Linked DNA regions of Sus scrofa. Each later gene encodes a partner of the first gene's protein in a complex. Links are inferred from orthologs where the notes say so. Each region holds a gene or a part of one and is shown in the gene's direction. Other genes may lie near its edges. The genes, in order: ORC2, ORC4, ORC5, LRWD1 and ORC3.

Region 1 (5,593 bases):
TTTCTAGGCTATCCTGTATTGCTACAGAGCATCACATAAACACTTTCTGATCGACTGTAAACAATCATGGCGTTGACCTTTGGCTTGACCCCTAGTGCTTAGTGTTCTGGGTCATCTCATTCATTCTCTTGGCTTCAGTTTGGCTTTTTGTATGTCATTCCCATAATGGTATCTCCAGCCCAGCTAGATCTCTCTCCTCCGCAGCAGACGTGAATGTATATTGGAAGTTTCCATGTGGCTGTCCTGTAAACAATTCAACATACATAAAATTTAACTCATCTTAAACCCATCATCCCCATCTGTCCCTACTCCCTGATGTAGTGAGTGTCACCCATTCATGCCCATGCCAAAAAACTAAGTTCTTCTTAATATTCCCCTTCATTTACCTTCCATGTCCGATCATTCTTCAAATCCAATTGATTTGACCTATAAAGCTCTTGACACCTTACATTTTTCTCCATGACACTAATTCAAGTCCATAGCCTTTGGCGGTTTTACCCTCCTTTCTATCCACTCCCCCACTCAGCCAGTGTAATCCTTTTTTTTTTTTTTTTGGCTTTTTTTAGGGCCACACCCACAGCACATGGAAGTTCCCAGGCTAGAAGTCAAATCAGAAATGTAGATGCTGGCCACAGCCACAGCAGCTCAGAATCCAAGCTGCATCTGTGACCTACACCACAGCTCACAGCAACACCAGATCCTTAACCCACTGAGTGAGGCCAGGGCTTGAACCTGCATGCCTCGTGGGCACTAGTCGGATTCATTACTGCTGAGCCATGACAGGAACTCCAAGTGTAATCTTTCTTAAAAAAATAAAATGTTCCTTTCTTACTTAAAACCTTTCACTTAACAGCTGACTACTTTTTGTTTTGTTTTAAATTTTATTAGAATATAGGTGACTTAAAATGTTGGGTTAGTTTCAGGTGTACAGCAAAGTGAATCAGTTATGCGCATACATATATCCATTCTGTCTCAGATTCTTTCCCCATACAGGTTATTACAGCGTACTGAATAGATTTCCCTGTGCTGTAACGTAGGTCCTTGTTAGTTACCTATTATACACATAGTAGTATGTATATGTTAAGCTCAAACTCCTAATTTATCCCTCCCCCTTTGACTTCTTACTTTTAAATGCTCATATCCCATAGAATAAAATCCAATGACTGTCTTAGTTAACTTAACAAGACCTTTGTGACCTGGCCCCTGCTTACATTCCCAACTTAACCCACCTATTAAAACTCCCCTTCAGCCTGTGAAACTCTGTAGTGCCTTGTACCTCCCTTGTTCTCCCTTGCCTCCAGGCATGTATCACTTGAGAGGTAATGGGAGCTGGAGAGAAAGCTACTGAAAGCTGGAACTATCATCTTGGGTATGGATAAAATTGTGGAGTTCCCGTTGTGGCTCAGTGATTAACGAATCTGACTAGGAACCATGAGATTGCGGGTTTGAACCCTGGCCTTGCTCAGTAGGTTAAGGATCCCGTGTTGCCGTGAGCTGTGGTGTAGGTTGCAGATGCAGCTTGGATCCCGAGTTGGCTGTGGCTACAGCTCCAATTAGACCACCAGCCTGGGACGCTCCATATGCCATGGGAGCAGCCCTAGAAAAGACCAAAGGGAAAAAAAAAAAAAAATGTGCTTTTGCTTTATGTAAGTTGGGAATCAGTACAGTTACTTAGCCATGCCAGTTCTTCCTGTATTTTTTACAAGCTTAGATTAAGGAAACTGGTTAATTATCAAGTTGTCATCTAGTGGTACCAAAGTTTAGGAGTTCCTTGGTGGCCTAGTGGTTAAGGATCCGACATTGTCACTGCTATGGCTGGGGTCACTGCTGTGGCAGGGGTTCGGTCCCTAGGCCCAGGAACTTCTGTATGCTGCAGGCGCAGCCAAAAAAAAAGTATTGAAGTTTAATCTCATGAATGCTCTCTTTCTTACAGCTTAGGGTTCAACATTGTGCTTTACGGTTTGGGCTCTAAGAGAGATTTACTAGAGAGATTTCGAACCGCAATGCTGCAAGATTGCATTCATGTTGTCATCAATGGCTTCTTTCCTGGAATCAGTGTGAAATCAGTAAGTTTTAAAAATGCTAAAAGGAACATCATACCCCCTGCCCGTCCATCCCCCCAAGTTAACGACGATCCTCTTTCAAGTTCTGGAGCATTCGATTTTTGTTTTTTGTTTTCACACTAGTAAGATTGCGTCGTGCCTTACATCATGTGTTTGAATCAGAGGGCTGGAGCCTTGAATCCCCATCCTTAAATTTCCTATTCGGTACCTGAAAATGCATTCATTCCTAAGGAAATGTTAACTTTGTTTACTACACTGAATACCCACAGTACTTCTCTGAAGGACAGGATTATGGGGGACTTCAGTTTTATCCTGCTTCTCTGTCACTTTGGTACTCTAAAAATATGAAAATATACTTAATAGTTTATAGTTCTTCCATCATTTTTATTCCAAACGCTCCTATCTCTTCATCATTTGAAAATTAAACTTTTTACGTGCTGGATATATAACCAATGTAATACTCCTTTTTAAAGGTATCCGCAGTGTCTGTGTCCTCTTTTCTTTGATAAATCTATAGTTTTCTAATATTTCTTATATCGTTGAGGTCTTTTTGTTTTCTTTTGTTTTTACTGCCTGCTTATATTATCTTTACACTTCTGCTGTTATCCCCTGTTTCCTTTTAGCCATACTTATACCAAAAAAAAAAAAAATTAGACAAGTACTGGGAGAATGTTTGAAATGATTTTTTAGACTTTGAGGGAAATCCAAGTTCGTTTTTAATTTATAAAAGGATTAATTTGCTAGTTATAGTTGTCCTACATGACAGAATAAGTGATAATAGATGCACCTCTTGCCCTTTTATGACATAGATCCTGAATTCTATAACAGAAGAAGTCCTTGATCATATGGGTACTTTCCGCAGCGTGCTGGATCAGCTAGACTGGATAATAAACAAATTTAAAGAAGGTAATGTGACGTAGAGGCTCTCGTTTTTTGGTGAGGGGGCGGGCGTTCGGATTTTTTTGGCCATACCTGTGCCATGTGGAAGTTCCCAGGCCAGGGATGGAATCCAAGCCACAGCTGTGACCTACCCCAGTGTCAGATCCTTAACTCACTGCACTGGGCTAGGGATCAAACCAGTGCCGTTGCAGCAACCCGACCTGCTGCAGTCAGCTACTGCACCACAGCAGTAACTCTGATGCTCTAGTTTTAGGGTAAAGCCAATCATATACTTGTATTTATTTATGTACTAATATACACAAAAATGAGGGTTATTTTAATAATGACACTTCTCTCAGTGATGGTTTAGATTTCTTTAAAATAATTTGTCCCTTCTTTTTCTATGAACTTTTTCTGCAAACTTCCATTACCTAACAGGAAAGAATTATTTACCTTGAATTTATATAGCCAAAGTCTCCTATTTCAGAATAATTTTCACTTTTATTTGGGCAGTGTGAAGTGCTCCAGTTAATTGGTACATGTTTGTCTGATATTTTTACATTATTTAATATGTTTATAAAGCATTCTTATTTCTTTATCCTGAGTAAATATCAATGCATTTGAATGAGTTCATATACTAAAATCTGGGAAAATCTGGGAAAAAAACATTTATTGTTCTTTTGGTGTGAATATTTTGGTTACATGAGTGTTTCATATAACCAAATGAGAAATAAAATTAGGGTCCAGCTATTGTCATTTAGTTAAAACTTAAGAATTAAATGGAGTGGAGTTCCCATCGTGGCACAGTGGAAACGAATCTGATTAGGAACCATGAGGTTGTGGGTTTGATCCCTGGCCTCACTCAGTGGGTTAAGGATTCAGCATTGCCATGAGCTAGTGTAGGTTACAGTCATAGCTCAGATCTGGTGTTGCTGTGGCTCAGGTGTAGGCCAGCAGCTACAGCTCAGATTCAACCCCTAGCCTAGGAACCTCCATATGCGGTCCTAAAAAGACAAAAAGACCAAAAAAAAAAAAAAAAAAAGAATTAAATGGAGAAATTGGTTATGCTTAACAATTTGATGGATAATTTCAATATTGTTTGTACAGTCATTAAAATAGGTACCTGAATCATTTCATATATATGTAATAGGTATTGTATACAGTATTATAATAAATATATTTATTATATAATCTATAACATATAAAATATATTTATATAAATGTTATATAATTGTGGATTACATCAATGTGAATTATATAAATTATAATTTATATTACATATATAGTAATTATATTTGTTTACGTATAATTTAAATACCGATTATGGTGACTTTTAGAATTTAAGTAATCTTCAACTTTTAGAATGTGTTGTCTCAGAATCTTTGTCACTATATCGTCTCTCTTCTCTATCTGCAATGGAAGAGACATTAACTTATTCTAAAAGGCTCATCTTCCACCATAAATGACAATGTCCCATTTCTTTCTTTCTTTTTTTTCTTTCTTGTCTTTTTGCTGTTTCTTGGGCCACTCCTGCGGCATATGGAGGTTCCCAGGCTAGGGGTCAGATCAGAGCTGTAGCTGCTGGCCTACACCAGAGCTACAGCAACGCGGGATCCGAGCCACGTCTGCAACCTACACCACAGCTCACGGCAACGCCGGATCCTCAACCCACTGAGCAAGGCCAGGGATCAAACCTGCAACCTCATGGTTCCTAGTCGGATTCGCTAACCACTGAACTACGACGGGAACTCCAACCAATGGGTTTTAAAACATGCATAGAGCTTCTTCCATCTTAAAAAATATTTACGTGATTTTGCTGCTCTTCCATACTATTTTATTTCCCTATATCAATCATATGAGTTTTTGAAGACATGTCCTGCCTTCAACTCCAACTTTTTACTTATTTCCTTCTTGTTTCTATGCTACCCGAAGTGTGTGCTTGAGGATCACCTGTAATTTCCTCCTTTCTAAACAAACTGACTTGCCTCATCCTGTGTTTATCTTGATCTCTCTAGTATTTGATGATGTTGACATCATCATCCAAACTCTTCCTTCACTGACTTTTATGGTGTTTTGCTTCTCTGACCTTCTGATGCCTTGAGCAATATCCTAAGCCTCTTCCTCTCTCTTTTTTTTGTCCCTTGGACATTGTGATAATAAGAGTTTGCTATAGTCGCTCTTAATACTTAATGAGAAGAACTCTTTCTGGGGGAAGATGTTCCCCCTCCACTCCCACCTTGCAATTCAACATGCACAAATTCATATCCAGCCCAGTGTGCATCTCGCTTTATTTCCTGTGCCTTACTAAAACTGCTTTCTTCATGGTCTGCTTCAAGTCCTTCCCGTCAAGTCTCTTACTGCTCCAGTCCTTACTGATTTCCGGTGAATTTCTTTCAGTTAAGCCTTTAATAATGTCTTGCCTATTTTGAGTGACCGATATATCTTCTCAAATAAATTGCACACCCCTAAGCAACAGTTATTTTGTCCTATACTATTTTGATATGTTCTTTAATACATGGCACAAGTACTCACTGTACTCACTGAAAATAATAATTGAACTATTTTTCCTTTTAGATTCTTCCTTAGAACTCTTCCTTCTTATCCACAATTTGGATAGCCAAATGTTGAGAGGAGACAAAAGCCAGCAAATT
Region 2 (6,167 bases), about 100 Mb from region 1:
TCGCACTCAATCAGTAATTAAGATTTTACAGAACAAGTTTCTGCATATGCAATGCTTTTCCTGTCACTAAAATATAGGCATATTACGTTTTGGTTGTACCGTTAAGAAAACAAAAAATTAAAAGTATTATTATGTCTAATATTTATGTCAAATATCCTTCGAGATTATTTTTCTTCAATCCTTTCTAGTTGATCAAATTGCTGTTTTCATATTGCCAGTCTGATCACAAAATTGCTGCTTTACAGGAGAATATTTTTTGCTGACATAAATTATGGGATCAGAGATACCAATGCAGTTACAAAAAAGGGTGTGTGTGAGAGAGAAAGTGAGTGAGTGTGTGTGTGTGTATGAATGTGTGCATCCATCTTTAAGGAAAGGATAAAGAAATGTACATATGAAACAAAATACCACTTTCCAATGTAAGCCCTGGTAAAAGGCCTACATCAGAAACATACTTTCTAACATTTGTGAAATCAAATACTGTACTAGATTTGAAAATCTTTCACTAAGAACATGCCAAGTGAAAATGGAGAATAGATATTTTTATCAAGATTATTACTCTATAAACCTAAATTTGGATTTATCTTTCAATTAACATCTACAATGCATATACTAACTACAACATCATGATTTCTTCGACTCAGAAAACCATATTTTAGAAATTTTTCTCCTTTCACATATAGTGAGCAATTTGGTTCAGTACCCCCAAGAGATAAAAAACTCATCTCAATTTACAACAGTAAATAAATAATTCAGTTAAAACTGAAAGTGGTACCAATCCAGCAAACTATTGATGGAGAGGTTTGGCCTTCCATGAAGCCAGAACAACATAAAAGTTTTCAATGGGGATTACTTGTTCAGACAAGTTGCAAAGATTAGGAAAATACCCATATTATGAAATAGCGAATATTCTCATCTTATGTAAAATAAATATCAGGAACGTAGCTACAGAGAGACAATACCAGCGGCATTTAAACTTTAAGTATTTTGAGCTATGAACTTCATATGCTAATATATGAACAAACATTTAACAAAAAAAAGCAATAATACAAGCCAAAACCTAACCAAAGGCCTCTATCACCAAAAATTTGAAATTTTCTATGCAAGTCAGACAAAACGAATAAAGGAAAATTAAACCCAGAAAGCAAAAACCAATCAAGTCTGTTCCAACACTGAAGTCAACATCCAAATCACATACAGAACCAAAAAGGGGAAAACACTCAGGTCTACAAATGGATAAGCAGTTCCGATACAATCCAGATCCCGACATTTTCCCACACAGAAACAAATGCAGCAGAGCTTTTCCTAGGAAAAAAGGAAAAAAGCTCTCCAAATGATTTTTTAAAGTGACATCTAGAAAGTGTGCCTCTTTCTGTCTCTTTCCCTGGCGCCTCATTGGAGGAAGGAGGGGGTTGTTTTTGTATTCTCCCCCACTGGAGCCAAGACACAATCAGATGTTAGCTGGAGGAGAGAAACCACTTTTGACAACAGCAAATAAAAATAAAAAGTGCCCTTCCTCCTCTGACAGGATGGGCACCCACCTCACACACCCCTCCCCACTCCTACTCCTCCTTCACCACCCCCCAGCACCACCCCCTCCTCACCCGGGAGCTCCACTGCGTATGTGGTTTGGTGCTACTGTTGCCCCAGAGTTAAAGTCAGAGCCACAGGAAGGCAATGAAGCCCCCACAGACACACTTACCTTTCCTGCCCCCCACTTTTGAGTGCCTTCCCTGGAGCTGTGGAGGATGACACAAAGGGTAATAAAGAGGGGGGGAGTGGAGGAGGAGGAGGAGGCGAAGGAGGAGGAGAGCTGGGGAAGTGGCTGCTCCTGGGTGTAGTGAGATGTCTCCAGCCAGGGCCAAGCAGCAGTAGCAGCAGCAGCAGCAGCAGCAGCAGCAACAGCAGCAGCAACAGCAACAGCAGCAGCAGCAGCAGCAGAGAAGGGTCTGTGTTGCTAAGAGGCTTTTGGTCTCTTTCTCTCCTCTCACGGCCAAAGAGGAGGAGGATGGAGAGGGCTCGGGAGGGAGGCTAGTGGAGGGGTGAGGGGGTAGGAGTCGTGGATGGGGGGGTTTGGAAGAAGAAGAAACTCCTTCTCCTTCTTTCTCAGGCTCAATCCCCCTCTCAGGTCTCAGGGCTGGAGGGTGGGGGAAGGAACTCAGCCGCCTTCCCCCCACCCCCCTCAATTCAAGGTTGAAGTGGGGTAAAATTAGTGTCCTGTCCCTTTAAAAATAGAAATAAAAGGTGCCCCCCCTCTGCCACTGCCTCTCTCTTCATCATCAGCTGCTGCTGCTGCTGGGGTCTCTCTGCTTGGGGGGGAGGGGGGGTTCGGGTAGAAGAGACGGGAGGCACTCACTGCGCATGTCCCTCTCTGACGGGAGGCTGGTTGGTTGAAGGCAGGAGGAGGGGGAGGGGAGGAAATGTGAAGGTTTCCCAGAAGGCTCCGAGGCGATCGCGACCCGGAAGACATTGTAGCAGGGGGTAGAGGGGCGGGGGCGGGGAGTAGGAGGAAGTCGCTACTCTTTAACACCCCCAGCCCCCTCCTCCTTCCTAAGGGAAAGTGGAGGAACGGAAGTGGGCGTGGACCAAGGCAAAAGGAGGTCACGTGTTTGGGCGGGAGAGGGGAGTGGTGGGAAAGGCGGTCCCTGCGCGGGGCACGCTGGGAGTAGTGGTGTATAGCTGGCAGCCTCTGGGGAGGTAGAGCTGACTACGCGGCGAGAGGAGCTTGTGGATCCTTTTCCGCGGTCTCTAGAATACCGCTCTGCCCTCTTAAGGGCTGGCTTTTTCGTGAGAGGTAACATGGGGGTCGGCTGGCCTCAGAACGAAGGCCATGGGCGCCACTGGCTAAAGGCGAATCGAAAAGGGGAGGATGGAAGGCTTTGGAGACTGGGTATGCGGGAAGGGGGGCAGGCCTGTCTAGGCCAGGCAGGCCAGAAACTAGGCTGGCTTCTTCCATCTCATAGCCTTCCTGTGAGCCTGCGGGCGACGAATCCTTGAAGAGTTTAGGGAGTCCTGATGAGATTAAATCTATGGCAGGTGGAGACTACACCCAGTGGTGGTGAGGAATGTGATGGTCCAGGTGTAAGAGAAAAATTGGATCTCCGGAGCCTTCTGATGACTGTTTCAGCTCAAAGCAGGGGACCTGCCTAGCAAGGGAGACAAGCTGTGTGATTTTTGACAACTTATAGCATTAAATGCATTGCTTATGTTGGATGTTATGACCATCAATCCTTACTTCGCTATCCTTCTAGGAATTCTGGAGTGGCTTTGGGGAGGGAATAAGCTAGGATGTCTCGAGTGGAATTTCTCTCCCTGTCTTGCGTTGTTGCTGCACCACAACGCCTATGGTTGTTCTTAGAAAAGGATATGGGATTGTGTAATCCTTGATATTGTATGTTACCGTTGATAAGGAAGGTATATCATCAAAGTTCTCCCTTTCTGTAGTGTAGATGAGGGTTTTTAAAAATTATTTTAATGGGTTTTTATTTTAAATTACTTTGGTTACTAGCCTCGGATTTAGCCTTTGGTTTTTCAATTAAATGCAACTGGTTTTGCTGGAAATAATGCTTCCCTTATGTTAATTCAGAATATTTAAGAAAAGATTCATGGATTTTCATTAATAAAGGTATTTTTTTCAGTAAAATTGCACCGTTTCTTTTTCACATTCAGTTCATACAATCATAACTAAAACCATTCTAGTCTTTCAGTTAACTTCTTTTGAAGGTGCTTTGAAAGATTATCACTCATGTATAGTTTCTTTTAAGACCGGGAATCCAAAATTCCACATATTTATGTTGTGTTGGTATTATTTAATTCTGTGGTGTGTCCTTCAGCGTACTCTTAGTTAAAGTTACTACTTATTTTCTACGTTTTACTTCTATGTGTTTTGACAGTAGATCCTATTCATGCATCATTGACTGCTTTTACCACTTTCTGTGTGTGCAGTAATCTTGTCGAATGGAGTAAAAACTAGACACCTGTGCCTTAACATTTTGTTTATATTGAAACCAAATGTTTGCCACTTTAGAACAGAAAAAAATTATAGCAAATCAATAAAAGTGCCTTACGTAACAAGTTTTTAATTTTTTACGACAAAATAAAAATGTGCAAAAAAGTGTGCAAGTCGTAGATATGCAGTATAATGAATAATTATAACGTGCACACTTTGTAATCACTACCAAAGAGAGAAAACAATGCTCCGCCCTCCCCCCGCCAATCCATTCCTATTCTTTCCTCCCTCTTCAGTACTCCCAAAGATGGCTGGATTTTTATGGTAACAATTTCTTTTTTTTAAATGTAGTAATGATATTTTTATGGTAATGATTTCCTAATTTTATTTCAAGTGTTTTTAAACCACCTTTTCCGACATTCCTAAACAATACACGTTTTTTTCTATATGTAAATGAGTTATGTATAATTTTTCTCTTACTATGCAATATTTAATCCTGTTAGCTTTAGTTCATGTATTTTTATTGCTGTATAGTAATGTTTATAGTATAGTAAGTGTAGTGTAGTGAGTCCTATTGTGAATAAATCAAAATTTAACTAGTTCAGTATTACAGACATTTGGATTGTGTCCAGTTAAGTTGTCTGTGTTTTTACATAAAGACTTGAGCATTGTGGCAAATATCTTCTCTGTGCTTGTAGCATTTCTCACATCCTGAATAATAGCTTTATCTTCATTTCATTCTTACTGACTTATATACTGCTACTGTTATTTGAATTTTGGGGGGTAATTTTAACTCCAGGGAAAATGTCCTATACTTCTGCTATCTGGTACAGTAGCCACAAGCTATGGAACACTTGAAATATGGGTAGTATTACTGAGAAACTGTATTTTTAGTATTGTGTTAATTTAAATTTGAAAATCGATACTCGATTCAGTTGTCGGAAGATTCATTAAGTATGCTTGGAACAACCTGAGTATGTAAGTTTACTGTCTCAATTGTAAACTTTATAAAAATTAAGACCACATATTTCTGATGACAAATTAGCATCTGAGTTGTTCTGTGAATGTCAAATAAACCTCAGATTTCTAAGATTTAGTATGAGAACAGTGTAAAATTATTTTATTATGATTACTTGTTGAAATTATAATAAATTAATTTCACCTTATTTTACTTTTTTTAAATGTGAATACTAGAAAATATTAAGTTACATGTGTGAGTGGCCTTGTATTCTAGTTGGGCAGCATTGTTTTCTGCTATCAATGTTGAGTCGATATATTTACCATTTTGGGTGTTCTTCATCTCTTCTTGAATCTCTGAATTTTCTTTGGGAATCTTTTTCCTCCTGCCTGAGTATACACTCTTAAGAAATTAATTAATGTAGACATACTGATGGCCAAATTGCTTAATTTTTTTTGCTTACCTTACAATGTCTGTTTCACCTGCAATGTTGAAAAATGTTTTGGGGGTATTGTAGGATTGTGGTTGTTTATCAGCCCTGTTAAAGATGTTCCACTGTTTTATGGTGGGGGGCTGCCATTATTGATTTTGAGCAGTCAGCTGTCTAATTCTTGCTGCTTAGAAGAAATCTGCCTTTAAAAAAATATTTTCTTTGTCATAGATTTTCTGCTGTTTCTTCATGATGCTTTTGTATGGAATTCTTTTTCCCGTTTTGAACTCATTGGGATTCTTGAGTCTACGGATCCACATCTTTTTAGGAAATATATCACCTATGTCCACCCTAACTGTTTCTAGCTACTTGCTAAAAATTACAGTTGTGGCCTTTATTGACATAGTATTTGTAGTTAATTTGTTGTCTGTAGTGCAGAATTCCAGTTTCTTGATTTTTTTTTTTAATGGGTCATTTTCTGTGTTCGTGATTTTCTTTTTTTCTCCTAGTGTGCCTGTGTGATGGTTGTATTTGAAAAATGTTAGGAATACATGAGTCTTAGAATAAGGTCCTCCTCAAGAAGAAATTTTTTTTTTTTTAGGAAAATTGTTTAGGGATGCTACCATTTAAGTCACTTAGTTCATGTTCAAATCTTGGGATCCCTTCTGTTATATACATGATGTTAAGCAGGGCTTCTAATCACACAAGCTTTGTTTTGCTTTCCAGTTCTCCTTTTTCCTGATGATGCTGCCCTTAAGGTCTCAGAATTAGGTGATTGTTTCTTTGAGTGCACATGCTAGATAAGCTCTATGCCTTTGATTTTTTTTTTT
Region 3 (5,593 bases), on another chromosome or scaffold:
TTATAATTGTTGAGCCTGTGTATTTATTGTTTAAATCTTTGTTATAAAATGTAACTAAGGTGCCATGTCAATCATTTCTGTTCATTTATGTCCTGTGAACAGGGAACCTTCAAAAGATCTTGTCCCATGATCATCCTCCAGAATATTCTGCTGATTTCTATGCTGCCTACATTAATATTCTTCTTGGAGTTTTCTACACTGTCTGCCGAGATTTGAAAGAGCTCCGACATCTGGTGAGTGCTCATTTTACTTGAAAAAAACGTACATCTTTTAGTATTTTTTCATATGTAAAGGGTGTGAGATAGGCTAGAAGCTGAAAATTTATTCTCGAAATTTGGATATGGCCTTTTGAGGCCAGTATACCATGAGAAGGTAGAAGTCTGTGGGTTAGGACAAACTTTGACCTATTCAGGAAGTTTTAATAATCTTTAGTTGTGTCTTTTTTTTTTTTTTTTTTTTTTAATTTTATTTTCCCACTGTACAGCAAGGGGGTCAGGTTATCCTTAGATGTATACATTGCAATTACAGTTTTTTCCCCCACCCTTCTTCTGTTGCAACATGAGTATCTAGACATAGTTCTCAATGCTATTCAGCAGGATCTCCTTGTAAATCTATTCTAGGTTGTATCTGATAAGCACAAGCTCCCGATCCCTCCCACTCCCTCCCCCTAGTTGTGTCTTTTCATATTTCCTTGGGAGTGGTTTTTTTTTTTTTTTTTTAATGTCTTCCTTTCTCTTTTCTCTCTTTTCTCTAATGGCAGAAATGCAGCACTTCATTAAAATTATAATGAAGGTTAACAGAAAGGAGATGTGGAAAGCAGTTTTTTGTTTTTTGGTTTTTGGTTTTTTTTTTGTCTTTTTGCTATTTCTTTGGGCCACTCCCGCGGCATATGGAGGTTCCCAGGCTAGGGGTCGAATCAGAGCTGTAGCCACTGGCCTATGCCAGAGCCACAGCAACGCGGGATCCGAGCCGCGTCTGCAACCTACACCACAGCTCACGGCAACGTCGGATCCTTAACCCACTGAGCAAGGGCAGGGACCAAACCCGCAACCTCATGGTTCCTAGTTGGATTCGTTAACCACTGCGCCACGACGGGAACTCCTGTTTTTGGAAGTTTTAAATTTTAGGCCTCTTATGATTTAGCTGTTGATTTCAAGCAACTTCTGAGTAGGGAAAGAACAAAAGACACTGCTCTAGTTCAGTTTCATCATTAACATCTCCTTGGAAGTTAAATGTTGGGATTCCTGGTGCCTAAGGGAAGTGACAGCAGAGGGGCAGAGGAGAGAGGGACTGTATAGTCCCTGGATGAAATGGAGCTGGGAGTGAGTTCTCATCCACTGTCCTTCCTGGGAAATAACTTACAGTTACTACTCCTTAGCACTGATGTCCTTGAATCCTGTGGGAATCTGTGCTGGCAGCCATTTCAAAGTAGATTATAAAATACAGGAAGGAAGAATTATTTAGGGAAACTGTTTGTAGGAAAAGAAAATATAAAATTTAAATGGGTTTTTATAAAGTCCTTTGGGTTTCACTGAGGAATGATTTTATTTAGGGCTGAGGTTGCCGCTTTTTTATTGTTATTGTTACCTTGTATTCATAAACTTGAAGCTTGAAATATGTTTAAGACTTTACTACTAACAAATAGAAGAAATTATCTTTAAGCATTAAAGGAAAAAATAGTATAATGTTCTTATTTTTCTGCATATGTAGAACATAGGATAATAAAGATACATTTTCCTTTTCCCTTCAAATGTTTTGAAGTTTGTAAGTGGCATTATTTCTTTAGAATTTAATAAATCACCTACAGAAGTTTCTTTTGGGGCTTGTTTTCTGTGTCTGAATTTAAATATGCTTTAGGAATTGGTATTTTTTAAAATATTTTTTTGGAAGCTAACTCTGGTAGCTTGAGACAAGAGGAGGTAAAGTACTACAGTGACTAGTCATTTGGGTTTGTCTTCTCTGACAATTCTTATGATCTCCTAAAGAAGTAGTAATTATAATTTTAGGAGGGTCAGTTGAAGAAGTTATTTTTATACTCATATGAATTCCAAAATTTATTTTCTAAAATTTAGTTTAGCATGATTTTTTTTTAAAAAAAATAGCTATCACATTAAATTTGCTGTATTTTAAAACTTTCCCTCCAAATACCATAATTTTCTTAGAAATTACTCAGAAAAATGAATTGCTCATCCAGAGCTTAGTAATTTTTTAGGGTATAGCTCCAAATTTCTGATGCCTGTTTTTGATTTGGTCCTGTGACTATGACATAATGACTAAGAAGGGGATGCCAAATAATTGCAGTGTATATGGTAGAATGAGCAGAGGACTTAATATTAAAATACCTTAACTCAGCTGCTTACCAGTTGTGTCATGTCGAATATGATACTTAATCTTCTGTACTTCAGTTTCCTCATTTCTAAAGAGGGACCAAGAATATATACCCCGGATGATTTCTATGGGTATAAAATGAAATATACTGTTTAAGTGCTTGTAAATAAAAATATATATAATGATGTTAGGTGATATTACCAGTAACACTAAGTAACTTGATACATAGTCTCTTTTTAGATTTTTTAGATTTTTTTGTTTGTTTGTTTGTCTTTTTAGGGCTGCACCCACTGTGTATGGAGGTCCCAGGCTAGGGTTCTAATCAGAGCTGTAGCTGCTGGCCTAACATATATGACGAAACATATATTTTAATGTTTTTACCAAGAAAGAAAGCAGTATATTTTTATTCAGCCACGTTATTTACCAGTTATTGCTAAAATTGTGACATTTTAGCGTTATTAATCAGTACCTAGAACTAAAAATCTGAAATCTGGGAAAGTTGGTCTCTCTCTACTTAATATTAGCAGAATTTGAAAGATTTTTCTGGTTTAAACAGTTACCTTTTATTAAAGAAAATATGAAAAAGTGTTCCAAGGATTTGGTTCTTAGTTCTCTTATCTTCCTAATTTGAGATTTTATAGTTACACGTTTATATACAATCTTTCCTCTAGGTTTTTATTATTGAATCATTTCACTGTGACATACTTGTGACCAAATTAATATTAAAAAATTGCAGTAGCATGTTTTTATAAAGTTACTTAAACTACATTCAGTAGAATTTTGATGTGGAAAACTATTAAGTAATTATGATTAGTTAGTGTTTTTCTGACTTTAGAATACATAGAATCCTGGAGAGATTTTTTTTTTTAAAACTAAGATTCCTGGATCTCATCCTCAGAGATTCTGATCTAGTATGCCTGGTATGCTAAGAACTTGAAGTTATAACAATCATAGGTGGTGCTCTTAATCATATAATATGAGGTGAACTGAACTAGATGACATTTAATTTGTGAGAATGGTCAGACTTTGGAAAAAAAAACAGGTTAATTCTTTGGGCTAGAGGTACTTTACTGTATGTGTTGCGGTCCTTTGTGACATAATTCTGACCTAAAATTACAAATTATGCGTTGTTACACTATTTTATATCTAGAGGCTAATACATAGGCAGAATTTAGCCAATTAAGGAATATTTTACATGTTTTATTATTGTTGATAACTGTGGTTTTATTGTTGTAGGAATAAGCTATAATTAAATTTTACTTGTGCAATTATTCTGAAGTAAAACTGCCTGAAATCTAATAAAAATTTACTTGAAAAATAATTTCCTTTTTTTTTTTGTCTTTTTCTAGGGCCGCACCCGCAGCATATGAAGGTTCCCAGGCTAGGGGTCCAGTCGGAGCTGTAGCTGTGGACCTACGCCAGAGTCACAGCAACGTGGGATCCGAACTGCATCTGCGACCCACACCAACTCACGGCAATGCCGGATCCTTAACCCACTGAGCTAGGCCAGGGATCAAACCCGCAACCTCATGGTTCCTAGTCAGATTCGTTAACTGCTGAGCCATGACAGGAACTCCTGAAAAATAATTTCTAATGGTGATAAAATGCTTTCTTCTCTTTTTTTCCCTTCGTTTATAGGCAATACTTAATTTTCCTAAATATTGCGAACCTGTGGTTAAAGGAGAAGGTAACTATAGTTTTACTATCATAGTATTTCTTTTGAAGAAAATTTCTGTAAGATCTAAATTACTGAAATTTTTCCCCTTTTGGAGTAGCAAGTGAACGTGATACACGGAAACTCTGGAGAAATATTGAACCTCATTTGAAGAAAGCCATGCAGACTGTTTATCTCAGGGAAATATCAAGGTAATTTTCTAAGTAGTATGTTTATTATTTCTGTATCTTTTATTTGTGATATTCACTAAAGTATACATGTTTCTTTACCTTCTTCACATGGGGAAAAAACTGGTTTCAATCATTTCTTATCATTTTGAGAAGGACAAATAATTTTCAGCCAGTGCATTGTACAAGAAATATTTCTAATAGTTGCTAATTTTTTTAAATCTGGAAAGTTACAGGAAAATCAGTTTCAACTTTGTTTTTCATGTTTATGTTAGCTCTTTGGTATAATAAAAATTAATTATTAAATGTATAAATCAAGTCATAAATCTACATTTGTCAATTATTAGAATTTCATAGTAATGAAACTACTCAGGAGACAGTTGCACAGACATAGTGTAGTGAGAACATGGTTTTGATTTCCATCTTAGCTATTTTCTGCCTTATGTGGTCTAAGCAATTTACCTTAAACTTCTAAACCTCCTCTAAGAATCTTTAGATGATTTCAGTAATATATTTGAAAATGATTTGTGAATAATAAAGTGCCTTATAGATGTTAGGTTAAGCCTGCAATACAAAGCAACATAGGAAATGTAAAAATATCAGTACTTTTGTTTTCCTCACTTTTTTTTTTTTTTTTTTTTTTGGTCTTTTTGTCTTTTTTCAGGGCCACACCTACTGCATTTGGAGGTTCCCAGGCTAGGGGTCCAGTCGGAGCTGTGGCTGCCAGCCTATGCCAGAGCCACAGGAACGCAGGATCCGAGCCACGTCTGCAGCCTACACCACATCTCATGGCAACGCAGGATCCTTGACCCACTGAGTGAGGCCAGGGGTCGAACCTGTGTCCTCATAGATGCTAGTCAGGTTAGTTAACCACTGAGCAACGACGGGAACTCCAGTTTTCCTCACTTTCTAATCAATTTTGTTATCATATTTCTTTCATGAATACCTTATTCTGTAACTACTTTGATTTAATTAGGTTGTTATAAGAACTTAGTTTCTGAGTAAGTAGAAACATTACAAAGATAACTGTTATTCCTCTTTTTAATGATAAAAAGTTATTTGATGAGGATTTTTGGAAGTCACAGTAGAAAAGCTTGTGATCTGATCTTTTAAAGGTAGAAAAATGTGGATGTGTCTTAAAATGATTCTTACATGTAATTAAAGGACTTCTAGTTTCCCATAGGATAATGATGGCCACCTAAATCCAGGTCTCTCCACAAGGTCAACAAGGCGAACAAATAAAATCATTCATAACCCTTGCCAGCAGTGTAGCTAGGAGTCTACAGAGTTGACCATAACCTTCAGTTTCTAAGCAACCGAAACCAGCAGAGCCAACTCTGAGGTTCTTTGCTTAACTTTTCAGAGGAAGACTATGAGGAAAAGAGGAGAGGACAGTGGGGGCAGGGGTTGGTGTTGACTTGTA
Region 4 (6,182 bases), on another chromosome or scaffold:
GGCTGGTCAAGACTCTGTCGGATCTACATGGATGTCTGGGGTGCTCCCTGCCCAGTGAATTCTGCTTCCTCTTCCTTTATGCTCCACAGGCATCATCAGCACCTCACGCTATCTCTGAGCCACCCTGTCCACTGTCTCTTGGCACCCCACATGTGACACATGGAAAGTAAGGAGTGATCGTGTGTGAGTTCCCAGGCCAGGGAATGAACCTGCACCACAGCAGCTGACCTAAGCTGCTGCAGTGACCAGGCCGGGTCCTTAACTGATGTGCCATAAGAGAACTCCTGAAAAACCTTTTTTTTTTTCCTCTCCTTTTTTTGCCTTTTTAGGGCCAAACTCGTGGCATATGGAGGTTCCCAGGCCAGGGATTGAATCAGAGCTACACCTGCCAGCCACAGTCACAGCCATGCCAGATCTGAGCCGCATCTGCGACCTACACCAGTTCAAACAACACTGGATCCTTAACCCACTGAGCGAGGCCAGGGATCCAACCCATAACTTCGTGGTTCCTGTTTGGATTCGTTTCCACTGCGCCACAATAGGAATTCCCTAAACCATATTTTAAATGCACACTTCAGTGTATAAAATATATCACACTATTGTGCAACCAACCTCCATAAATTTTTCATCTTGCAAAACCGAAAGTCTACCCTTTAAATTACACCTCCTCTTGCTCTTCCCCCCCAATTGCTGGTACCAATCATTCTACTTTCTTTTTCTTTCTTTTTAGGGCTGCACCGCCAGCATATGAAAGTTCATAGGCTAGGGGTCAAATCGGAGCTGCAGCTGCCAGACTACACCACAGCCACACAGCAACACTGGATCCAAGCCGCATATGTGACCTAAGCTGCGCCTCGTGGCAACTCCAGATTCTTAACCTACTGAGTGAGGCCAGGAATCAAACCCACAATCCTCATGGATACTGGTCGGGTTCTTAATCTGCTAAGCCACAATGGGAACTCCCATCATTCTACTTTCTGTCTGGGTGAATGTGACTACCCTAGGGACTTCATGTAAGTGGAAACATGCAGTATTTGCCTTTTTGTGACTGGCTTATTTCACTTTGCCTAATGTTCTCAGGGTTCGTCTTTGTTGTAGCAAGTGCCTGGATTCCCTTCTGTCCTTTTCAAGGCTGAATGATATTCCATGGCATGGATGGACCACGTTTTATTCATCCTTTCATCTGTCCCTGGATACCTGGGTTGCTTCCACCTTTCAGCTACTGTAACTGCTATGTAGCTCTTCAAGACTCTGCTTTCAATTCTTTTGGGACATACCCAGAAGGGGGACTGCTGGGTCATATGGCAGCTCTACTTTAATTTTTCTGAGGAACTGCCACTATTTTCCACAGGAACTTTCAAGCTTTTTCAAGCCTGTGGCAGTTGCTTCACTGGCTTCCCAGTCTCCTTTCCTTCCCATCCATTCCTCCCCTTCCCGGGACCTCTCTAAAATTCACATGTAACTCCCTTTAAAACCCTCAAGAGCTCGCCATGGCCCTCAGGGCAAGTCCAGCCTGCCTTCTGTGGTCAGGCCCACCGGCCTCCCTCACCTGAAGCATCACCCACCTTCCCCAGGCCTCGGCCCAAGCAGTTCCCCAGCTGGAACGCCCCTGCCGCCCTCCGTGGCCCAGGGTCCCTTTTTTTATGAGTTCATTGGAATGAATTTCCTCCTTGCCCACTTCCATCCGAGGCCCTCTGCCCCGGTTTTCGGCCCCATCTACTCTCTTCGTGGGTCTCGTCACCGGACCCTAAAGCTTCCCGCCCCAGACACGGGGGCGCTATGTTTGCTGTCAGACTCCACACAAGTTCGGGGTGAGCTGCTGTCGAACCTTACCCACGTCCCAGGCCCTTCGCCACTCCCAGCTCACTCCTCAAAGCCGTCATCTCCTCACCCCGCTACGCCCCCCTCGGTAGGACCGCTGACCGGTCTGATTCCCGGATGAAGAATGGAGTTGTGGGCGCGGCCCTTCTCTCCCAGCCCTCACCTGCGGGGAGTGCTGCCAGGGCGGGTCACCTCCGCGTTGCCGCTCGCAGATCAGACAGGTCCGGATGCCCTTGCAGCCGCATTCCCGAAGGACCTCGGGGGCCGCCACCGCCGCAGCCGCCATCGCCGCGTCCTGGCAGCCAGAGCGCAGGCGCAGGGCCGCGGGGGCCGCCGGGAGTTGTAGTCCGCGGGCGGGACATGAGGCCCGCGGGGCCGCTTCCTTCCGGTCGTCGCCGGCGACGGATTCGCGCGGCGCCACCTCCTGGACTCGGCAAACCGCTGGCGCCAGCACCGGAGTCCCGTGCCGCCGTTCGGGCCACCGCGAGCCGCGCCTCCCCGCCATGGGCCCCCTTTCGGTGCGTCTGCTCATCCAGCGGGGGAGACCCAAGAGCGACCGGCTGGGGAAGATCCGGAGCCTAGAGTAAGGGCTGGGGCTACACAGCCTACCGCCGGGCCTGGGTCGCCGGGCGATTGGGAAGAAAACCTGGGATCTTTCCTCTCTCCCTGTCCGGCCTCGTTATCACCCTGTCGGTTCCACAGAGTCTTTAATCATTCGGCCCAAACGCCGTCTTCTCGCTATGAGACGGGTCTGGTGGGCCTGGGCTGCTGGGGAGAAAATCTTGCATAAGGAATAGGGAGCAACCTGTTGAGATAACTACAGAGGACCTGGAAAGCAGAGACACCTCCCCCCTCCCCGCCCCCAGAGGATCAGGAAAAGAATCCTGGAGGGGGCCAGCTGCTCCAGGTTCTAAAGAAGTTCTAAGCTAAAGGTGGGGGGATGTTGGGAAAACGCGGGAAAATGTCAGGCAGAAAAGCCTTGTGAAGTGCCTGGGTTGCCATGGGTGCAGGTGGGAGGCCCGCACACCCCCTAAGCCCGTCCTCTCTGCCCTTCCCCCCAGCCTGTCAGGGCTGAAACTGCTCTCAGAGCATCTGGACCCCAAGCTCCTGAGCCGCCTGAAGCAGCTGCAAGAGCTGGACCTCTCCAACAACCAGCTGGAGACACTGCCCGCCAACCTGGGCCTGTCCCACCTGCGCATCCTCCGCTGCGCCAACAACCAGCTGGGCGACGTCACTGCCCTGTGCCAGTTCCCACAGCTCGAGGAGCTCAGCCTGGAGGGCAATCCTTTCCTGACAGTAAGTGTGGGCCCCCGGCGGCTCCATGCCCAGGGCCAGCACTCTATGGGCTTGGGCTCAGCCACAGGCTGAGGCAACCACAAGCTCCTCTTCCCTCACCCCCCAGGTCAGTGACAACCTGAAAGTCTCCTTCCTCCTGCCCAAGCTCCGCAAGGTCAATGGCAAGGATGCTTCCTCCACTTGCTCTCAGGTGGAGAACCTGAACCGGGAGCTGACCAGCAGGGTAAGGGGCGGGAAGGTGTCTCTGGTGCTTGGGAGTCGTTGGGGGCCTTGAGGAGCCAGTGATGGAAGTGAATGTTTGGAGGACACTGAGGGTGGGGTATGGGGGGCAGCTGAGCGGTCCTGAGCCTGACAGTGGTGCTTGGCGTCTTGTCTGTGGAGGTCTGCTCCCCACATGTACAGTCCCAGCAGTGGGGGCTGGGATGCTTTCATGGTGACTCGCCAGCTCCTCCCTTCTGGGGCTGTTTCTCCATGTGTGTTGCTGGGGTTTGTGCAGCATGCAGCTGAGGAGGCTGTGGTTTGGGGAGGCGCCCCGGAGGTGGTGAGGTTGAGACACTTCTGGCCATGGGATTGGAGGCAGAGGTGCCACAAAGGGTCCAGGATGGCTGCGGTGTGCCGGGCTTGAATCTGGCCCCTCTCGTGCCAGGTCACAGCTCACTGGGAGAAGTTTATGGCCGCGCTGAGCCCAGAGGAGGAGACGGAGAAGGCTCAGGCGGACTTTGTGAGGTCTGCCGTCAGGGACGTCCGCTACGGGCCCGAGTCCCTCAGTGACTTCACGCAGTGGCGGGTATGTCCTCACCCCTCTGTGCTGGGAGTCGCTTCTCCCAGCTCCTCCTTGGCTCCCACGGCCTGAGCCGCCTTGGATGTCTCTGGCCTCTAGGGGATGTGGGGGGGGGGGGCGGGTCAGGGAGGGCAGCCCTGCTCACCAGAAAGACCCTTCCCCAACTCAGGAAGCACCCTCTGCCTGGTGCCTGGGGAGGGTCTGCCCGGCTTCCTAGTGGCCTGGCCCACAGGTGCGGATGATCTCTGAGGAGCTGGTGGCTTCTGGTGGGACCCACGTACATGAGGCAGACATCCCAGAGAGGCCCCCCAAAACCAGAGCTACCCGGGAGCCCAGGGTGAGTGTGCTTCCTTCCTGCCTAGAAAGGCATTTGGGAAGCCGGGGGCCGGGGGGCCGGGTGGGGGTGGGGCAGGAGATGCATCCAGATGGTTCTCTCTGACCCTGATACCCTTTGCCTCCCGTGCTCACGGGTGGCTGGGTGGGGGTGCAGTCCAGCCTGTGGTGGGGAGGAAGCCCCGGGAAGATGGGTGTGAGGTCACCACGGCCTCAGCTTCCCCCACCACCTCCACAGGCCAGGCCAGTGGCCTTGAAACGGCCAAGTGACATCCCACTCAGCCTCTCTCCCAGCAAGCGGGAGCTCACCTCTCCACTGGCCCAGGCAGAGGGCAGCCCGGTGGGCTCTGATGGCAGCCAGGTGAGCTAGCAAGGTGTCGGGGCGTGTGGCGGGAGCAAGGGCCGGGGCAGCCGTGACCCCCCTCTGCCCCCACAGCTGGAGCCCCTGCACTTCCTGCAGTGCCACAGCAAGAACAACAGCCCCCGGGACCTGGAGACCCAGCTCTGGGCTTGCGCCTTCGAGCCGGCCTGGGACGAGGGTACAGCCTTGGTGGGCAGGCAGGGCGAGGCGTCTGGGAGTGCCCCCCAAAGGGAGCTGCCCGGGTGGATGGAGGAATCGGGAGGGACAGAGCTTAAAAGGTGTCGGCAAGGTCAGAGGAGGGAGCTGCAGCGGAGACTTCATAGGGGACGTTTTCACCAGGCCGACCCCTCCCAACAGGGCACGCAGGGGCCACATCCCAGACGGTGGCCACGTGTGGCGGGGAGGCTGTGTGTGTGATCGACTGCCAGACGGGCATTGTGCTGCACAAGTACAAGTCGCCCGGCGAGGTGAGCGCCAGGGCCCTGCTCCTGCGGGGCGGTGGGCAAGCCCCGGCTCTGGGGGCAGGAGTGCTGGGGTCAGGGGCCGGACTTGCCACCTACTCACCAGGTAACATTTTCCTTTGATGCGGGGCTGCGGTGCCCCAGGCTGCCTTGGCGCGCGTGTGCACACTGGTAGCTCTGCCCCTTGCTGACTGCTCCGCGTCCCGCCCCGCCCCAGGAGTTCTTCTCGGTGGCCTGGACGGCCTTGACGGTGGTCACACAGGCAGGCCACAAGAAGCGCTGGAGCGTGCTGGCAGCTGCAGGCCTGCGGGGCCTGGTCCGGCTGCTGCACGTGCGTGCCGGCTTCTGCTGCGGGGTCATCCGCGCCCACAAGAAGGCCATTGCCACCCTCTGCTTCAGCCCCACCCACGAGACCCACCTGTTCAGTAAGACCTCTCCCCACACCCTCACCCTGCAGCCTGGCGCCTTGGGGCTCTCTCCCTGGCTGCCCAGGTCAGCTCAGACTGTGGGAGGAACAATGCTTCGTGGCTCACTGACGAGGCTTTGAGTCCTATCCTTTCTCCCAGCCTGTGGCCTGGGAGTCGTGGCTGACCTGGGTGGGTACCCGGGGCCCCAGGTGTGGGGGGCCCAGTGAGGGTGACATCTGGTGTGGGGCATGTTAGGTTAGACGAGATAAGGGTGGCAGGCCCGGAGTCGTCTGTCTCCCTGCCGGGCCCGCCCTCCCTGCCGTGGGACCGCGGCTCAGCCTGGGCTGCCTCCTCAGGCCACCTCCCTCCTTCCGCCCCCCTTCAGCGGCCTCCTATGACAAGCGGATCGTCCTCTGGGACATCGGGGTGCCCAACCACGATTATGAATTCCAGGCCAGGTGATGCTCTGAGGCGGGGTGGGGGCGGGGGGCGGCCCCCTGAGTCCGGCCTCACACTCTCGTCCTCGCCTGCCGGCAGCCAGCTGCTCACACTCGACACCACCTCCATCGCCCTGCGCCTCTGCCCCGTTGCCTCCTGCCCGGATGCCTACCTGCTGGCCGGCTGCGAGGGCGGCTGCTGCTGCTGGGACGTGCGGCTGGACCAGCCCCAGAAGAGGAGGTCAGAAGCGTGGGGATGCCCTGAAAGCCAGTCCTCACTGCTGA
Region 5 (5,593 bases), on another chromosome or scaffold:
CCGTCGTGGCGCAGTGGTTAACGAATCCGACTAGGAACCATGAGGTTGCAGGTTCGGTCCCTGCCCTTGCTCAGTGGGTTAACGATCCGGCATTGCCGTGAGCTGTGGTGTAGGTTGCAGACGCGGCTCGGATCCTGCGTTGCTATAGCTCTGGCGTAGGCTGGCAGCTACAGCTCCGATTCGACCCCAAGCCTGGGAACCTCCATATGCCACAGGAGCGGCCCAAAGAAATAGCAAAAAAAAGAACCAGGGATTCAGTAAATACTTAAAGGATCTAAAGTTTTAATTAGTTTTTAGACTCTTCCCTCAAAAATCAACTCAATATATACTTCACCTTTTGTATTTATTACTGTGATCATTAATAGTATTAATGATTGGCCTCTCCTCAGTTGTTAAGTTAGGGTCACAGTAAGGCCCTTATTTTTGATTGACTGTTTTAAAGAACTCTGTGAATTTTAAATTACTTCAACTATATGTCCCCAGTAGTTTTTTGAAAGGAAAATTGTGCTAAATACCTTTCCTGGCTAGTGTGTGCCTCTGCGTGTCTACTTTTAATAGAGATCTCTTCATCTCTGTGGTATATTTTCTTAGTTTTTGTTACTAACCATGTTTTAAAAATATTTTTACTTCATAATTTACTTGACATGTTAAATAGCTTTTTTGTTATTAAATTATTAATGATAAAATGATGGTATAATATTGATTTATTATCCCATAGGTGTGAATGTAACAGATCATGACTTAACATTCAGGAGTCTAACAGAAGCCCTTCAGAATAATGTCACTCCATATGTAGTCTCATTGCAAGCTAAAGATTGTCCAGGTGAAGTATTAATGCTCTAATAACCTTGATGAGATGTTACACATCTCTTCCGTCTTCTTTCTGGCTGTCTTTATCCCTTTTTATTTGTGGGAAGAGCATGACACTGAGTTTTTGGCAGGATGAGGTTCAGTACCTCACAGAGTAATCCCGAGCCTTCAAAACCTTTTGCTGTCCGGTGTTATATAAGTACATATTATTCCTAATATAATATATAGTTTTCAGGTTTATGCATTTGCTTAGGTAATACTTTTCTTATAGACAATAGACATAAACTTTAGTGTTAGTCTGAATTAATGAAATTTAAATATTGGGAGGATGTTAATGAACCTTAATAGTTAGTATGTTAAATGTTATGTCAATGTTAATTGTAGAAAAACACATTCTACCCAAATAGTTTAATATACTGATCAAGAAATTTCAGGTGTTTTAGATTTGTTTTAAGGGGATATGATTTATTTACATTTTATATTCTGCAGATATTAAGCATTTTTTGCAAAAGCTCACCTCACAATTGATGGACTGCAATGTAGATGTGCCATCCAAAGAGAAAGAAAGTGTTCAGTTCACTCAGAAGAAGACACATTATTCCATGGATTCTCTTTCCAGTTGGTACATGAATGTCACACAGGTAAATGTAAATTGACATTTTTTCCCACCAGGAAATTGGCATATGATTGAAGAGGTCTAGAATTACAGTAAAACCATAGTACTTTTTTGTTCTAATAAGGATATGTTTTGGTAGCACCAGTTGTTAATTTAGCAGTAGCTACTTATTTTTCCTAAGGCTATTAGAATTCAGAAGTTTTCTTTTATCAGTATTCTTGATTCCTAGGAAATCTTTAGGTTCATACAAGGCCAGTTTATTTGTGGGAGAATCATCCAGTGACAAAGCAGCATCAGGAATATGTTTCTAGCGCTGTGACAATGGCTTTAACTTTAATATACTATCTCTTAGATTCCTCAACATTTACTTTTATGGGATAGAAACTTGTTTTTAGTACTCATTTTCAACTTAGTTTGATGAAGAGTAGTGTGTGTGTGTGTGTGTGTGTGTGTGTGTGTGTGTGTAAACACACATCGATAATATATCTAATTTGTTCCATGTTTAGAATTCTTGAAGGAGTAAATGTTCTGTATGTATAGTATGTTTGACAAGAAGATATATAGATAGAAGTTTCATTCTCCCGTGACAGACTGGTGAAAGCGAAAACCTAAATGGTTCATGGGGTAACTGCACCATAAAGCCACAACCTTCCTTTATGTTCCTGTGTAGCCAGATAGTATGGGGAAAAGTTACTGTGGTAACATTTTCTGCCAAATGTGGTTGTTTGAAGTCATCATAAGTAAGGTATATAAGGATTAAGCTGGGTCTAATGTTTACCATAATGTCTTCTTTGATCCTTAGTTTCAGATTGTCTAGATATGAAATGCTGCCTGTAGTTTAGGTTAGAAATTTTTAAAAATTGGCATTGGACCAGATGATAGTTGAGATGTTTTCAACCTGAAATTTCACAGTAGTAGAGTAGCAAGTAGTGTTATTCATTATGGTTTTTAATTAAAAATACTGGCCTCACCCTAAAGCAAAGCAAAATATAATATTCTACCAAAAGAAAAATCAATTTTATAGAAAATGTTTTCTTCTCCCCATGCTTTTCCTGTCATTTTCTCAGATAGCAGAAAATATAAATATTTCATATGAGTTATAGATGTTACTGGACCTTTTTCTTCTTGGTTATTATTCCCATGTCAGACACAGAAAGATTCTGCTAATAACTGCTGGAATGAGTTTCTGTTTATTATGTGGGAGAAATAAAAGAAACAATGTTGCTGTGAAATATGAAGGGAGCTGTAACAGCTTGTGGCATTATAGCATTGTTTGGATGGTAAAGCTTACTTTTAACTCCTTCTTTCTACAATGGCTTAAAAGAAGACAGAACCAAAAATGCCAAGAAAAAAGAGGACTGCTTCTAGCCAATGGCAGTCTCCACCTGTTGTGCTTATCTTAAAGGATATGGAAAGCTTCACCACAAAAGTACTCCAAGACTTCATAATTATCAGCAGGTAGATGGTGTATCTCTGACTTTTTTGCAAAATTCTTTTTTTTTTTTTTTTTAAAGGGCCACACCCGCAGCATATGGAAGTTCACAGACTAGGGGTTGAATCAGAGCTATAGCTGCTGGCCTACACCACAGGCATATCAACATCAGATCCGAGCCACATTTGTGGTCTATCCCACAGCTCATGGCAACACCGGATCCTTAATCCATTGAACAGGACCAGGGATCCAACCCACAACCTCATGGTTCCTAGTCAGAATTTGTAACCTGCTGAGCCACAACGGGAAATCAGCAAAATTCTTTTTATTAAGAAAACATACAGCTTTTAACTTAAAAAGCAACTGTTTTCAGAGAACATAAAAGTTTTATCTTCATTTTAATACTAAAGGATTGAAACAGGATGATTTTAAATTTCTTATGAAATTGAACATTTAAATACCGCCTATCAGATTTTCATTTGCTTTTTGATCCAAAAAGGAGAACCAAAAAACAAAAGTTAGCCAATTTTTAGTTATGATAAGGCAGTATAAAAGAATGTCTGACTAAGAATGTCTGTCTCTTACTTGACCACTAAATGGGTAAACCACTCTAGGTTGAGATATTTTTGTCAGGACTTATTTTCTGATACCTGTCCACTGTTAGAAGCTTTGAATTACATATAGCTCTACTGAACAATAATGTTTTTTAAATAACTTATATTATTTCTGATGAGAAACTATTTTCATGATCTTACTGGATCTTTAAGACAGTCTTCTGAGACTTGAAATTGAAGTAATTAACCCTATTTAAAAACCCAGTGAAATGCTTTTCCCATGGTACATTTTTTTAGGGTATAATTTATTTTGGCATCTTCTGTATGTTAATTTGCTTAATAGTTTTGGCTACATTTGTCTAAAGCTGTATTGTGTGATAATCTACTAATATAATTCCTATTTTGATAGTATTTATTTTTCCATTTGAAACTGAGATTTCTAGATCCTAAGACTTTTCTTTTTTTCTTTTTTAGGGCTACCCTTGCAGCATATGGAAGTTCCCAGGCTAGGGGTCGAATCAGAACTGTAGCTGCTGGCCCACGCCACAGCAACGTGGGATCCAAGCCATGTCTGCAACCTTCACCACACTCATGGCAATCCTGGCTCCTTAACCCACTGAGCAAGACCAGGAGTCGAACCCACATCCTAATGGATACTAGTCGGGTTCGTTACCACTGAGCCACAACTCCAAGATCCTAAGACTTTTCTTAATGCTAACACTGAGCTGATTAAAGTACCAGTAATAGAGTCTGAGTACTTTAGTACTGTGAGAGCAGAAAAAAGTCTAGGATACTGAAAAGCAGTAGCTAATAGGAGGGAGCAAGCAAAATCGTCAGCCACAGAACAGAGGGCTCTGACCTACAATAGTTTTTGGAATGTTGCTGTTTTATTCTGTGGAAGTCACTTATATTCATATTGCTTATGCTAAGAATGAATCATGTTCAATAAGTCTGAGTTAAGAATGCCGGAAAAGGAGTTCTTGCTGTGGTCAGTGGATTAAGAACCCAACTAGTATCCATGAGGATGTGGGTTTGATCCCTGGCCTCACTCAGGGGTTAAAGAATCTGGTGTTGTGGTGAGCTGTGGTGTAGATTGCAGATGCAGCTCAGATCTGGTGTTACTGTGGCTGTTGCGTAGGCCAGAGCTGGAGCTCTGATTCAACCCCTAGCCCGGGAACTTCCATATGCTGCAAGTGTGGCATTAAAAAAAAAAAAAAAAAAAAAAAAAATGCCAGGAGAGAATGTAACATTTTTAAATGATGTTCATTAAATATATCTCTTACATATTTTTAAGAAAAGTTTTCTAAATCTTAGCTATTATGGCTTGGTGACCTAGTGTCTATTAGAAATGTCCATAAATAGAATAAGTTACTTGAAAATGAATGTGCTTCACCTCACTGAACTCTTAAAACATAGACTGGATGTCCATCCATGAGGAAGACTGTAGGCAGGACTCAAACTTTGGGTGAGAGATTGAATGGTATCTAACACCTCTTCTAACATTTGAGATTGTATAACCTCAGGGAGAAACACTAGATCTCTCAGGACCAATGTGTTCTTATTTATAAAATGAGAGAATCTATTATATAGATTGATTTCAGAGCTAGAATGTCTGGGAAATAATTATTTCTTTGTTTTAACAGAGGAAAATGAACGACCTGAAAAGTTTTTTATTATTTAGAATGATCTTCCTTAGCAGTGTGTTATGAAGTCAACATTAAAGTAAAAGTTGTCTTATTTTAAAATATGATGTGCTGAAATAGATTTGCTAAAGGCATTGCACTTTTGTATCTTCCTTTGAAAACTAGTCAACATCTACATGAATTTCCACTAATCCTCATCTTTGGAATTGCCACATCTCCTATTATCATCCATCGGTTGCTTCCTCATGCAGTATCATCTTTGTTGTGTCTAGAACTATTCCAGTCTTTGTCTTGCAAGGAGCACCTGACTACAGTACTTGATAAGGTAAAAGTAAAAAATTTTACCAGTGAAATCCAGGTGAAAAGAAAACTGCCAAGGAGTTCCTGGTGTGATGCAATGGGATTGGAGGTGTCTCTGCGGCACCAGGATGCAGGTTCGATCCTTGGTCTGGCACAGTGGGTTAAAGGATCCAGCACTGCTGCAGCTGCAGCATAGGTCACAACTGCAGCTCAAATCTGATGCCTTGAATGGCAACTC

The links.
Region 2: the proteins of ORC2 (region 1) and ORC4 are in contact, whole or in part, in a cryo-EM structure (PDB 7JPP), measured with the Homo sapiens proteins. The link is inferred for Sus scrofa from reciprocal best matches to the Homo sapiens genes ORC2 and ORC4. Residues at the interface, in NP_006181.1 of Homo sapiens: Asp501, Asp504, Tyr508, Ser512, Gln518, Glu522, Val554; in NP_001177808.1 of Homo sapiens: Lys168, Asn169, Arg195, Glu200, Leu201, Lys204, Arg205.
Region 3: the proteins of ORC2 (region 1) and ORC5 are in contact, whole or in part, in a cryo-EM structure (PDB 7JPO), measured with the Homo sapiens proteins. The link is inferred for Sus scrofa from reciprocal best matches to the Homo sapiens genes ORC2 and ORC5. Residues at the interface, in NP_006181.1 of Homo sapiens: Val240, Glu241, Tyr243, Phe244, Glu245, Ser248, Asp396, Gln398, Arg401, Gly402, Glu403, His426, Asn428, Ala429, Pro430, Leu431, Met432, Trp433, Asp434, His435, Gln438, Trp445; in NP_002544.1 of Homo sapiens: Asp324, Lys325, Phe328, Leu329, Leu359, Asp360, Arg361, Ala364, Tyr367, Ser368, Ala378, Asn379, Phe381, Ser382, Gln383, Thr385, Ser386, Thr389, Asp400, Gln401, Leu402, Asp403, Tyr407.
Region 4: the proteins of ORC2 (region 1) and LRWD1 are in contact, whole or in part, in a crystal structure (PDB 8SIU), measured with the Rattus norvegicus proteins. The link is inferred for Sus scrofa from reciprocal best matches to the Homo sapiens genes ORC2 and LRWD1. Residues at the interface, in NP_001012003.1 of Rattus norvegicus: Val11, Pro12, Ser13, Val14, Gln15, Phe16, Val17, Gly18, Asp19, Val22, Leu23, Ser24, His25, Ile26, Leu27, Asp28; in XP_038945348.1 of Rattus norvegicus: Pro262, Leu263, His264, Phe265, Leu266, Gln267, Cys268, Ser270, Asn273, Ser274, Pro275, Leu320, Val321, Leu322, His323, Lys324, Tyr325, Lys326, Leu367, Val369, Gly372, Phe373, Cys374, Pro596, Pro598, Val599, Ala600, Val605, Ile630.
Region 5: the proteins of ORC2 (region 1) and ORC3 are in contact, whole or in part, in a cryo-EM structure (PDB 7JPO), measured with the Homo sapiens proteins. The link is inferred for Sus scrofa from reciprocal best matches to the Homo sapiens genes ORC2 and ORC3. Residues at the interface, in NP_006181.1 of Homo sapiens: Leu239, Glu242, Tyr243, Ala246, His247, Asp268, Arg273, Leu276, Val279, Ser280, Phe283, Glu286, Leu287, Leu290, Lys296, Leu297, His299, Lys300, Met302, Leu303, Gln304, His306, Leu307, Phe309, Tyr314, Gly315, Leu316, Arg320, Glu324, Arg327; in NP_036513.2 of Homo sapiens: Thr3, Ser4, Ser5, Met6, Ser7, Lys8, Gly9, Cys10, Phe11, Val12, Phe13, Lys14, Pro15, Arg20, Ile22, Ile26, Tyr29, Phe30, Lys32, Tyr47, Val111, Thr112, Lys139, Asp318, Lys326, Gln329, Leu330, Leu333, Tyr337, Glu589.

The regions. Positions count from the first base shown.
Region 1 is NC_010457.5:104,621,357-104,626,949, reverse strand, and holds part of ORC2 (origin recognition complex subunit 2), read left to right. Parts: intron 1-1,933; coding exon 1,934-2,066; intron 2,067-2,872; coding exon 2,873-2,969; intron 2,970-5,516; coding exon 5,517-5,593. UniProt on the Homo sapiens protein: Component of the origin recognition complex (ORC) that binds origins of replication. DNA-binding is ATP-dependent. The specific DNA sequences that define origins of replication have not been identified yet.
Region 2 is NC_010457.5:4,093,941-4,100,107, forward strand, and holds the start of ORC4 (origin recognition complex subunit 4), read left to right. Parts: upstream 1-2,598; 5' UTR 2,599-2,794; intron 2,795-6,167. UniProt on the Homo sapiens protein: Component of the origin recognition complex (ORC) that binds origins of replication. DNA-binding is ATP-dependent. The specific DNA sequences that define origins of replication have not been identified yet.
Region 3 is NC_010451.4:104,134,303-104,139,895, reverse strand, and holds part of ORC5 (origin recognition complex subunit 5), read left to right. Parts: intron 1-102; coding exon 103-233; intron 234-3,966; coding exon 3,967-4,015; intron 4,016-4,103; coding exon 4,104-4,194; intron 4,195-5,593. UniProt on the Homo sapiens protein: Component of the origin recognition complex (ORC) that binds origins of replication. DNA-binding is ATP-dependent. The specific DNA sequences that define origins of replication have not been identified yet.
Region 4 is NC_010445.4:9,804,083-9,810,264, forward strand, and holds the start of LRWD1 (leucine-rich repeat and WD repeat-containing protein 1), read left to right. Parts: upstream 1-2,168; 5' UTR 2,169-2,324; coding exon 2,325-2,404; intron 2,405-2,882; coding exon 2,883-3,117; intron 3,118-3,223; coding exon 3,224-3,340; intron 3,341-3,763; coding exon 3,764-3,904; intron 3,905-4,130; coding exon 4,131-4,235; intron 4,236-4,469; coding exon 4,470-4,592; intron 4,593-4,667; coding exon 4,668-4,770; intron 4,771-4,949; coding exon 4,950-5,059; intron 5,060-5,270; coding exon 5,271-5,478; intron 5,479-5,845; coding exon 5,846-5,918; intron 5,919-5,997; coding exon 5,998-6,138; intron 6,139-6,182. Other genes in the region: ALKBH4 (alpha-ketoglutarate-dependent dioxygenase alkB homolog 4), read right to left, coding at 1,985-2,107. UniProt on the Homo sapiens protein: Required for G1/S transition. Recruits and stabilizes the origin recognition complex (ORC) onto chromatin during G1 to establish pre-replication complex (preRC) and to heterochromatic sites in post-replicated cells.
Region 5 is NC_010443.5:55,994,983-56,000,575, forward strand, and holds part of ORC3 (origin recognition complex subunit 3), read left to right. Parts: intron 1-718; coding exon 719-823; intron 824-1,299; coding exon 1,300-1,451; intron 1,452-2,750; coding exon 2,751-2,884; intron 2,885-5,220; coding exon 5,221-5,380; intron 5,381-5,593. UniProt on the Homo sapiens protein: Component of the origin recognition complex (ORC) that binds origins of replication. DNA-binding is ATP-dependent. The specific DNA sequences that define origins of replication have not been identified yet.